3 linked regions of the Diceros bicornis minor genome follow. The protein of the gene in region 1 interacts with the protein of each later gene in a pairwise test. Links are inferred from orthologs where the notes say so. Each region holds a gene or a part of one and is shown on either strand. Other genes may lie near its edges.

Region 1 (3,745 bases):
TGAGGATTCCTTCTTATAGGTTCAAAGGATTTTTCCATGTTCTGCCTCCTATCCTTTACTTCAAATCTTCACTCTCATGTGGTTTTCCCAGTTTTACAACTGTTGGCTTCTACCTGAATTCTCTTTTTCCTCCTGGCCCCTTGGATTCACTGCTTGTTTGGATGGTTTGCCTAGGTTTGTGACTCAGCCTCTCTCAAGACACAGCCTTTGGTGAGCTTCTCCTCCTTGGCCTTAAGTACTGCAGCTCCTGAGCAAGTCACTTCTTGTCTGCAACAATGAATCTAGGCTCTAGGCCCTAGGGGGATGTCATACCCTAGATGAGACTTCAATGCTTCCAACTAGCAACAGCTCCATCCCCCTCTCCAGCTGCTCTGACTTTGTCTGGGAGGAGATAGTTCACATATCTGCCTCCCTCTCTCCGTGTTCCCTGCTGGATCAAACCCTCATCATAGTTTCCTAGTTAGGCTCTCTTTCTCTAGTCTTCACCCACTCTAGCCAGCTATCCACCTCCCTGCTGCCACCAGATCTCTCTTTAAGCATAGATTCCCTCATAATACCTGTCGGATCAAACCTCTAATAGCTCTTCATTGCCTTTCAAAAATCTAACTCAATCTACTTTATGAATTCCATATCCTGCCACTTCTCTGCTGAACTGTAAGCTCTTTCAGGGGATGGACCATGCCTTTTCTTCTTTGTATCTTTAACTTCTAATATAGTGCCTGGCACACAGAAGATACTCAATAGATATTTGCTGAATGGACAAATGAACTCCAGCTACATTAAACTCTGAAACTTCTTTGACCATACCACGCTCAAATAGTGCCTTCTCTGAATGTGTTCCCTGACTCCGTCATTCAAATCTTATATATGTCCCCATGCTTTTTACTCCTCACTAGACTGTAAGCTCTCTGAGCGAAAAGACCAAGTCTTTTTCATCTTGCATCTCACCCAGTGTCTAGGAGAGTGCCTGGTGTAGAGCAGGCACACAAGTAGTTTGTTGGATGACAAATGAATGATATCAGAGAGAGGAAACTACTGGATTTTAAGAAGTCTTGTGGTGAGATAGACTGAGGAAATGACCTAAGAACAATGAAAACAGAGATCAACAAGTATAAATAAATAAGGTACAAATAAGTAAATTAAGTAGTCAGATGGTGACGCAGAACTGAACAATTACAGTAAAGTGGGGGTCAATCAGGAAAGGCTCCCTAAAGGTGAATTTTGAGATGTATTTGAAAAGAGGAAAGAAAGATAATTTGGACAAGTAGAAGCTTAGCAGCATGTCATGGAGTTAGGTTGAACCAAGGCATGGGAAGCGATGTGTGTGTTTCAAGTCTGCTTTTGGAGCAGGATCTGTTCTACCCCAGAACTCAAGTTCTGCCTTTTTCCTGGCTCCCCACACAGGCCTACTGGCCCACTCTATATGTCTTGATGTTTCCCAGGTCACCCCGATGTAGGTCTCTGTGTTCGCTAAGTTTTTGTGAAAATAAACAAAACTACCCTGTGGGATTGAACACTTTTGCTAACCCTAGTCCTCTAGGGAAATAAACTTCCCTGTGCCCAATAAAATAGAACTGCTCCCAGTGTTGCTAAGCCAGGCGAGAAACCCAAAGGTAGTACAACCACTTCAGCACATCTTTACAAAAATTACCTTTTTGTGAGGAGATGGGGATCCAGAGGTCAAGGATGTATAATGAATGAGATCTGAGAAATACAGTTTGATATCAGAATCTTGTCTCAGCCACATCTGCCCCCCCTCCTCAAAGAGTACATGCAAAAACCTATGGTGCTGGACAGTCACTTTTAGGGCTCAGATCATTGCTGCCTCCAGCACTTGTGGGATAGAAAAAATAGATAGATTATACCACCTGTCTCCCTAAAAATGTCCCCCACTTTAGGAATTAGAACATTTTACACCGCAGGAGGTATATCTGAAGTCCTACAGAATCTCTTGACCTTGGGAGATGGCAACTGTCCTTTTAGTAGGGTAATCTAGTTGTCACGCAGTGTCCACTTTTTTTCAGAATGTTATGTGCCCAATGCATTCCATTTCCTGAATATCCAGCCTTACTATCTCCTGGTGGAGTCAAGAAAATTATGGTAGCATTTGCTCACTGCATGTTTTGAGGGGTTGGGTTCAGAGCACAGCTACTCTTTCTCACCTCTTAATGCAAACACAGGTTTCCAAGGCAGCAATGGGTGAGCCACTAAGGGGCACTTATGTTCTTGGAGGCTTACAGATCCCATACACGGATGTCACTCTGCTAGAACGTCTCGACATGGCAACGAAACATTAAAGCCTAAACTGAGGTAATTCCTCAACCAGTAGGGGGGCTTCCCAGGTAGGCACTGCCTCCTCGCGCGCTGCCCAATCTCTGGGGGTGTCACACCAGACTGTGGTGATGTCACACTGGCTGGACCCCCTACCGCCACCAAGCACCTTTAAATCACCGCGGAGTCTGCCGCGCGGAGGGGTCGGGGAATCTCGCCCCCGCACTCGGTCCAGGCTGGCTCCCCACGGAGGGACCCCCATCCCCACCCCCACGCTCACCCCCACTCCCACTCCCACTCCCACCAGTACTATGCGGTAGTTCTCATCCGTCCGCTCCTCGGCACTTCCGCCTCAGTAGGTGTCATGGCGCGGGGCGGGTGAAGAGTTCCCGCGAGGCGGGGCCGGCCGGATGGGGGCGGCCGCTCGGCGCTCAGCTCATCGGGTCTGGCGACAACGGCGGCTGCGGAGCGAGGGGCCCGGAGGTGGCCCCGGGCGGCAGCGGGAGGCCGAGGCGGGAGCGCGCGGGGCTGAGGCGGCGGCGGCGGCAAGAGGCCGGGCGGCGGAGCGGGCGGGAGGCTGAGGGGGCTCCCCCCGCGGGACGGGCGCGGGGACGGCTCCGGGGGGCGGGGGCCGGGGCCCGGGCCGGCTCGTGCGGGGGGTATGATGACCCGGCGGCGGGGCCCAGGATCTCGTCTCCTCCGCCGCCTCCTCACGGCAGCCCCAGCTCGCGGCTGAGAACCAGACACACCGGCGGTGAGTGGGGACGGGCGGGAAGGGGTCTCGGCAGGGAGCGACCTCCTATCCGCTCCCCGAGGCGGGGCCGGACCGGCCCGGCCTGCGGGGGGCGCTTCCCTCAGCTGGCCCCCATCCGGACCCGGCGCCGCCTCCTGCGGCCCGGCCCCTCACGGCCGCCGAGGGGATTGCGTTCCCAGGAAAACCAGGGAGGCTCCGGGCTCGTTTTCGGGGCAACTCCCCCTGTCTCCTGCCACTTCTCTCCTGGGCGTGTTGTTGTCCTCAAATGACAGGAGGCCGCCTTGCGTCTCCTCATCCGGCCGGTTTTTTTCCCGGCTGTCGTGGCAGGGTCTCAATGTGTGGCTTGTGCGTGTGTATTTCACAGCTCTGCTTATCACCATGGTTTTGGGTGATCTGTGCTGTTTGGGACCAGGAAGCGGTGTCTGGAAAGGACGGAGGTGGTGGGGTGGGTGTGGGAGCTTTCCTATTCTCTCCGCGAACGCTCTGTAATCGTGGTTTGTAATTTGTAATGGTGGAGACTCCATGGGACCAGCCCACCTAATGTATATCTGTGCAAGGCACATCTAGAGGTCTGGCTTGGGGGGAAACTTTTGCTGTCTGTCGCCACTTTCCCAAAGCTTTCGTTAAAAAAAAAAGAAAAAAGGTGAGGAAACAACCAAAACTCTTGGGTAAGGCCTGCACTGTTCACGGATCTGTGAGAAAGAGGCCCTTTTTTGTGCC
Region 2 (3,745 bases), on another chromosome or scaffold:
TGGATGACAGATCGGGACTTCCAGCTGACCCTTGGCTGGGGGTGGGCCTAGACGTGAGAGAACAGTCAAGCAGGACCTGGATGAGGGAGCAGGACCTGCAGCAGGTATCTGGTTAAGGCTGGCCCCAAAGTCGCTGGGGTAGGGGGTCTCGCGGACCTCAAAGAGTCCCTTATCGGTGTGAGGTCTGTACTAAAGGACCAGGCCTCCCCAACCCACCCAGAAAATCTGCGCTCACCTCTGCAGCGCCTCCGCCTGGCTCCGCAGCGCCGCGCGCAGGCGCTCCAGCTCCTCGCAGCCGTCTCTGCTGCCGCAGTCCGCCGGCAGCACGAAGAGAGCCGCGGCCCCCAACCCCGCGCTGTCCAGCAGGGCCGCTGTCTGATCCCGGGCCTGGCCTTCATTCCGTGAATCCCCAGGACGGAGGTTCCGCACAGCCAGCAGCGGGGTCCCTCGGGCCAGGGCGGCCCGCGCTGCCTCCGCCAGCGCAGGGGCCAAGGGCTCCCCGTTCCCCTCGGGGCCTGGCAGCACCAGTACCAGCACGTTGGCCTCGGCCGCCCAGGGTCCCGGCGCTGCGGGTGGGCAGCTCAGCTCGCCCAGGAAGAGGCCTGGGCCCGCAGCTCGCAGGCTGGGGATCCCGGAGTCCGGCCGTCCGTCGGGGATTTCTACCATCTCCACAGCTTTGTCGCACAGCGCTGCGATCAGCGCAGACTTTCCCGAGCCCGGCGGCCCCAGGAACAAGGCGGTCACGTCACCCCGCGGCGGAGGCATAGCTGGAAAGCAAGGGGTGGGGAAGACGGGGGTCAGGGAGCCCCCAGCCTTTGTCTTTTCTAGCCGCCCCAGTCTGGCGTCAGACGTCAGTCCTCCACCCTGTTCCCTTCTTCCATTCTCGGGTGTCACTCCCAGGGACCTGGGAATCCGGCGCCCAGACCCTATTCCCCAGGGACCCAGGCGTCCTTTCCGCTCTCCTTCTAGATATGTTTCTCTCTCTGCTTCGAAAACTCAGAAATTCGGCCTCCAGCCCTCTCCTCTCTCAAGGGTACAGATGTTCCCCCCCACCCCCTTCCGAATCACTAACCGAGCCAACGGCCGGCACAAGGGAGAGCGCAGCTGATGGAGGCTGGTCAGCCGCTGAGCACCCCCGCCCCTGGAGTCCGGCGGACGGAGGCCGAAGAGCCTAGAGCGCGGGGATTTGGGGATGTCCAGACACGTCCCGGGGACTCTAACCTGACGTCACTCCTTTTAGGAGGGGGTGTGTCTTGGAAGCGTGATCTCGGAGCACAGCCGCAGCGCCTGCGCAGAACGGCCAAAGTGCGTTCGCTCCCCAGCTCCGGCTGCCGCAGGGCCTAAAACAATGAGGGAGGCACAGCGCCTGCGCGCCAGGAGCGCCCAGCCACACCTGCGCAATGAGCTTAGGTCCTCACGGCACCGGTGGCTTGCAACGTCATCATAACGCATCCCAGTGCGGAGAAGGACCCCACCCGTTATTTTGAGGGCCGGTTGGCGCGACTGCATCATTGCCGGATGGCAGTCCAGGATCTCGGTTTCGAGAGGCTCAACAGGCGAAAGGGCGTGGAAACCACCGGGACTTGGAGACTCGGTGGGCCCTGTCCTGCTCCCCTCCGGGTGGCGGCGCTGTGACGAGCGACTGACAGGCGCAACGAAAGGCAGCCCTGTGCTGTCTGGAGAAAAAGCAGAGGCCTGGGCTACCCGCCTCGGGAGGAGGGAGCCAAGGGCAGTGCTGGGAGCAGCGGGACACGGAGGCTGAAAGCGCGTGGGAGGCGGGGGCTCTGGGTGGAACAAGAGTTAGAGGATGTCAGAGAAGGATGTCTCCTGGGAAGAGGCGAGCTAAAGCGTGGGTACCACTACCTGCCTCAAGACACGTGGGAGAAACGGGAATGAGGCTGATGTCAAAGATCAAGGGTCCTGCGCTGAGTTCAGGAGTTAGTTTGATGTAGAAGGTCATAGGTCTCACACAGGTGAGAAGGCTCTAAGGGGAGTCACAAACCCCGGGGAGTCAAATGGTTTGGGAGGGTTGAAGCTTCTCTAGGGAGAGCTCCATCAGGTTAGAGTTCAAGGAGATGGTATCTGGTGGGGGTCCAAGGCTGGCAAGGAGAGCCTCTATGTCAAAGGTCATAGGATTAGCGGGCCCTCTAAGGCTGGCGAGAGATGAGCGACTTCACTTGATTTACTATTCTATCATCCGTGCTCCTCTCTTGACCAGAGGGGTCCCAGCCACCATGGAGGACCCGCACCCCAAAGAGATCATGGAGCAGCAGGATTCGTCCAGGGAAAGGAGTCCCAGCAGTCCAAGAGGCGACATCTGTGAGTACTGCTGGCCAGAGGAGGGTGGGGTGCAGGAGCTGATGCTAAGAGAATTTCTATAGCATTTTAGTGTCCAAGGTGCTGCAGGGACTTGCCTGTTGGGGTCCTGCCCTACCAGGAAGTGCCACTCCTCACCTTCACCCCCATTACGCTCAGATGTCCCCACCCTGCTCTGTCCACATAAGCATGAGTGGGATGCATTTCAGAGAGACAGAGTGGCATCAAGAGGCTTCGGGTGGGAGATGCAGCTGGGAGAGGGCAGAGACTGTGAGAGGAGCCCTAAGGTTCCAGTCCCAACTCTGCCCCAGACTTCCATTGTGACTTGGGCCTCAGTTTCCCTATCAGTCAAAAGGGGTTGCCACTGCTCACCTCACAGGGCTGTTATGGGGATTAGTGACAAAAAAGGGGAAAGCTTGATATTAATGAAGGTAGCCAGTATGACATATAATAATAGCAACAGCTTCTTCTGAATTCTTATGATGTGCTAGGCGCATTCTAAGCGCTTAACATTCGTTATCCCATTCAGTCCTCCTAACAGACCCTGTAAAATTGGTTACTATCACTTGCAGAAGAGGGAACTGTGGCACAGAGAAGTATCCGTAACAATTGGAGGCAGTATCAACGCCCTCCAGCCAGAGACCACCAGAACACAGCTGCAGTTGCACAAGTTGGGTTTATTGCTCACTGTACTGAGGAAGTGCACACACACCATGGGGGCACTGTGGGGCACCTCAGTAGTAGAGCGTTAGGAAGAACTTATGATAGGATTTGGGCTTGTGATAGGTGATATGGGGGGGGCTCAAGGAAGAGGGGTTTGCTCTGGACTGGATGCTGCCAGGAAGCAGGGGCAATTGTATGGCTGGCCATCTTAATAACTCTCACCTAGAAGGAGGGTGGAACAAAGAGAGGCGCAAGCTGACTGCAGCAGCAGCAGCACAGGCACTCGTGTGAGCCAGGATGGGGGCGTCTGGTCATTTCTGTGGTTTGGACAACATTCACAGTTGTGTCTGCGTTCAGACGCTATTATGGTGTGGTCCTGTTGTCTTGATGCGTCTTAGCCACAGCATGGCCTTGTCTGACGACGTTCTGTGACACCGTTTATGTTCAACAGGAGACCACCAAGGCCAGCTCCCAGCTGTCGGGCTGCTTTTCTCTTTCTCAATAGTAATACTTGCAGACCACTGTGTAGCACTGTTCTAAGTTCTAAGCACTTTATATTAAATAAAAGTTCATGTACTCCTTCCAACAACCCTATGAGGCAGATACTGAGAGGGTTATCACCCCATTTGCCAGATGAGGAACCTGTTGTACTTGCCTAGGAAGTGGCAGAGCTGGGACTCGGTTCCAGGCAGTCTGGCCCCAGAGGAGTCTGGCTGGAAGGGCAGACTCCCTGGGTTCCAGTCTTGACTCCACCATTTTCATTTCC
Region 3 (3,745 bases), on another chromosome or scaffold:
CAGGGACTCGTGGGAGATTTCTGGGAGGTGCTTGGGTTAGGGAAGGAGCAAGCTGACCTCAGGCCACACTAGGCCTCGGTGGTCAGGGAGGGAAACTGGGCCTTGCTGCCACTGGACTTCTCGGTGCGTCCTTCCTGCAGGCACCACTCTGGGCCCTGGTTTCAGGAGCGTCGGGTTCTAGGGTCTCCTGGGCCCCGTGTCATTGGTAATGTGGCTTTTAGACCTCGCCCGCACTTGGTTACTATGATAAAGAAGCTGTGGACCCCCTCAGGATAAGAGAACCCCAAGAACCCTGCATGCTGTTCCAGGGCCCCCACATGTGGACGAGGAAGGATACTGGCAATCTCCTCAAACAAGTAGCCTGGACACGGGACGTCATCATCCGATGTTCCCTTCAGGAGAGTCGGGAGCTGAAAGTGAGTGAGAGCCCCTGCCCATGATGAGTGACCATTGTACACAGAGATGAGCCCATGGGCGCCAAAGGGCCAGCCATTCCTGAGTGGCTGTGGGAGTCCTAGCTCTCGGGGCTCCTGGGAGCACCGGTGCGCACACGTCTCGCTGTTGGCACACCATCTGGTAAGGGGCTGAAGAGGACGGCAGTGGTCTCACCAGCCACAGGGAGCCTGCAGGAGCCTCCCTTCTGGACGACTGGGGATGGATGCCGGGGAAGAGGCAATCAGTGGTGGTCTCCACGGTGATGGACTGCTATGCTTGGCTCAGGATGTGGCATAGCTCCCAGGCCTCTCCACTTATAGAGGTGCAAGAGGACTTAAAGGCACCCTTAATGTATCTACTTACGGACCGGCAAAAACAAGAAAGCACAGGGTGAGCCCCTTCCCCACGCAGGGGTCTGGGAATGTTCTGTCTTTCCAGAGCACCCATTGGCAGTGTGACATAACCACTGAGGCTGACCAACCCCCGGCTCCACTTCTGGGGACGGACCCCAAGGAAACAACCCACAGGGAGAACAACTGACTTGTGTTGCGTCTTATGTTTACTTGTTAGCACAAACGTATTGATGCTATGTGCTCACTCAACACAAAGACATAGGGTCTCCAGGGATGAACACCAGAAACGCCCATTCATTCCCACATCATTCAGCATGTGGGGGCGTGAGCCTTGGTGTAGACAGGATAGAAGACCTTGGGGTACTCAGAACAATTCCGTCAGGGGCTGGCCACAGACTAGAGTTTGAACGACAGCTATCTGGTGTCACACATGTGCCTGAGTGTCCCGTGAGCCTGTGCACACACTACTTACATTACTCGTCCACCAAGACCCAAAGGGGACCTGGAGAGGACGGCAGAACTCTCAGCATGTGAGGATCCTCTGCACTGAGAGAACTGACCGGGGGCTTCTAACAGCATGAGGATGATCTCAGCCCCCTGAAATGATGGAGGAAGCTCAAGGTGCCAGGAGACTTTATGGTTCACCCTGGTCAACACCTGGAGACAGGCCCCAAACTTCCGACCTTTCTTTCTTGGAGCATTTACAGTCAGGCACCGCATAACGATGTTTCGGTCTATGAGAGACCACACGTAGGATGGTGGTCCCATAAGATCGGCACCATATGGCCTAGCTGTGTAGTAGGCTATGTCATCTAGGTTTGTGTAAGTACACCCTGCGTTCATGTCACCTAATGACACGGTTCTCAGAACATATCCCCATCAAGTGACATGTCACTGTATTGTGAAAGTGGGTTTCCTACAACTCAGGAGTGTCTCTCTCAAGGACCTGAGGGCCATTCTTCAAACTGTAACCATCAGGAAGGACAGGGCTTGTCTCCCAGTCCCTATGGGGCGACAGGATCCTAACTTCCATAACTGCCAGCCAGCACACACAGCTGGCTGAATCCCATGGACACTGCCCAACCCCTCAACATTTTTCACTTGAGCCCCACTCTCCCCTGATTCTCCCTTTAAAACGCCCAGTCTTCTCCGCACTAATCGGAATGGAGTTCAGAGCTTGCCCTGCTGTCAGAGTCACTGAGTAAAACGTTCACCCCGATTCCCAAACTAGTGTCTGGCTGCGTTGGTCTTGGACACAGTTCAGGGCTCACTATATTCCTTTTTCTGTGAAGCTGCTTTAAGTTGAGAAAGAAAACAAATTCGGGTCCCACTGCTATCTTTCCCAATTTGGGTTCTGTTCAAGAAGCCTGAGTGTCCCCAGGGGACCTGACGCAGGATTGGCGCGTTCTGGCCGTGCCACGTACACAGAGTGGGGTCCCCCAACTTTGGGAGGGGCTGAAGGGGGGAGGAGGGGTGGGGGGTGGGTCGGAGGGGGCAGAGGACGTTGGAGGGGTCAGAGGAGGCCTGGAGAGGATGGAGGAGGTTAGAGGGGGTTGGAGAGGTCGGGAACAGTGGGGTCGGAGGAGCCGGAGGAGGATGGTGGGGACGCCGAGCCCGAGGAGCCGTAGGCGCCGGAGCGCGGTGACCCGGCGGGGGCCGAGAGAGTCCAGGGAGGTGGGCGGCTCTGGCCCAGGGCGAGCCGGGGGAGGCGGCACGCAGCAGAGCCTGGGCCGCCCGCACTCACCCGGTGCAGGAAATTCAGGCGGTCCCGCAGCGGCGGCGTGCCCGCCATGATGCCGGTCACCTTCCGGCCCCGCCCCGCTTCCGCCAGGCCCCGGGCCCTCCCCAATCACCGCGCGAGTCTGGCCCCGCTGGCCAATTGCTCGCGTGGGGCGGGCCCTGAGGAGAGGCACAGGCGAGGCTGAAGCCTGGCCAATTAGAAAGCGCAGGAAGGTTATGGACGGAAGCGCCGACCTATCCAGCTGTTGGGTTCCGGAAGAGGACGGGCCTAAGATGGCGGCGTCCACGGGTGTCGGGAGGACCGCTCATGTCGGGGAACGGAGCGGTATGGGGGCGCGTGCGAAGCCGCCTCCGCGCCTTCCCTGAGCGCCTGTCGGCCTGCGGGGCCGAGGTGAGGAGCGTCGGGCGGGGCAGCGCCTGCGAGGCAGGAAGGGCCGCACGGGAGGGCGGCGGGGCGCTCGCTGGTGACCGGGGGGCGTGGGCGGGGTCTGGTCCCGGTGACTGCCGCCGCGACCCTCGCCCATCCCCGTCCTCTCCCCATCCCCAGGCCGCGGCCTACGGCCGGTGCGTGCAGGCGTCCACGGCCCAGGGCGGCCACCTGAGGAAGGATCTCTGCGCGCGGGAGTTCAAGGCCCTGCGGTGCTGCTTCCTCGCCGCGGTAGGTGTGCGCCGCCCGCCTGGTGTGGGGACCCGGAGCAGGGCCCCCACGAGTCCGCCTCTCTTCTCGTGCGGCCGGTGACCGGCGCCTGCCGGTGCTTCCGACGCGCGCGCCGACCCCCCCGCCCGCGCGATCCCCGCCGCCACGGAGCTGTATGCCGGTGTCTGTCACGTGGGGGCGCCAGCCTCGTCGTGGGGGTGACGGTGGTGATGGTGTGTGTGCGAAAGCGCTTTCTCACTGTACGTGGTACTGTCGCTGGGGGGTGATGCCCAAACGAACCCCAACCCGGGACTTGGGTAGCTGGCATCCTCGCACTCGCCGTGTTTCAGCTTCGCTGGTGTTGAGGACGTCAGGCGTGCTGTGTGTAGGCGGTTACAACGGACGGGCCACCGCGCACACACTGAGGGGCAGTCACGCACCCTCGACTTCCCCGTACAACACCCCCATTTTGTGGAAGGGGAATCTGTAGGTCATGTATCCGAGGTTCGGTCTAAGCACCGAGGCTACGGCAGGCTAAGTTCTCCAGTCCACGGCACTGGCCGGCTCTCACTGGGGAAGT

What was found.
Region 2: the proteins of AP4B1 (region 1) and ZNF576 interact in binary tests that used the Homo sapiens proteins (3 or more experiments, as listed by UniProt). The two-hybrid records come from large-scale screens. The link is inferred for Diceros bicornis minor from reciprocal best matches to the Homo sapiens genes AP4B1 and ZNF576.
Region 3: the proteins of AP4B1 (region 1) and TEPSIN interact in binary tests that used the Homo sapiens proteins (3 or more experiments, as listed by UniProt). The link is inferred for Diceros bicornis minor from reciprocal best matches to the Homo sapiens genes AP4B1 and TEPSIN.

Annotation. Positions count from the first base shown.
Region 1 is NC_080743.1:46,664,957-46,668,701, forward strand, and holds the start of AP4B1 (AP-4 complex subunit beta-1), read right to left. Parts: upstream 2,640-3,745; 5' UTR 2,576-2,639; intron 1-2,575.
Region 2 is NC_080773.1:18,203,926-18,207,670, forward strand, and holds the start of ZNF576 (zinc finger protein 576), read left to right. Parts: upstream 1-1,481; 5' UTR 1,482-1,820; coding exon 1,821-1,849; exon of another isoform or gene 1,850-2,218; coding exon 2,219-2,319; intron 2,320-3,430; exon of another isoform or gene 3,431-3,745. Other genes in the region: IRGQ (immunity-related GTPase family Q protein), read right to left, coding at 236-765. UniProt on the Homo sapiens protein: May be involved in transcriptional regulation.
Region 3 is NC_080757.1:60,682,711-60,686,455, forward strand, and holds the start of TEPSIN (AP-4 complex accessory subunit tepsin), read right to left. Parts: upstream 2,614-3,745; 5' UTR 2,581-2,613; coding exon 2,533-2,580; intron 411-2,532; coding exon 338-410; intron 21-337; coding exon 1-20. Other genes in the region: NDUFAF8 (NADH dehydrogenase [ubiquinone] 1 alpha subcomplex assembly factor 8), read left to right, coding at 2,836-2,919, 3,076-3,186. UniProt on the Homo sapiens protein: Associates with the adapter-like complex 4 (AP-4) and may therefore play a role in vesicular trafficking of proteins at the trans-Golgi network.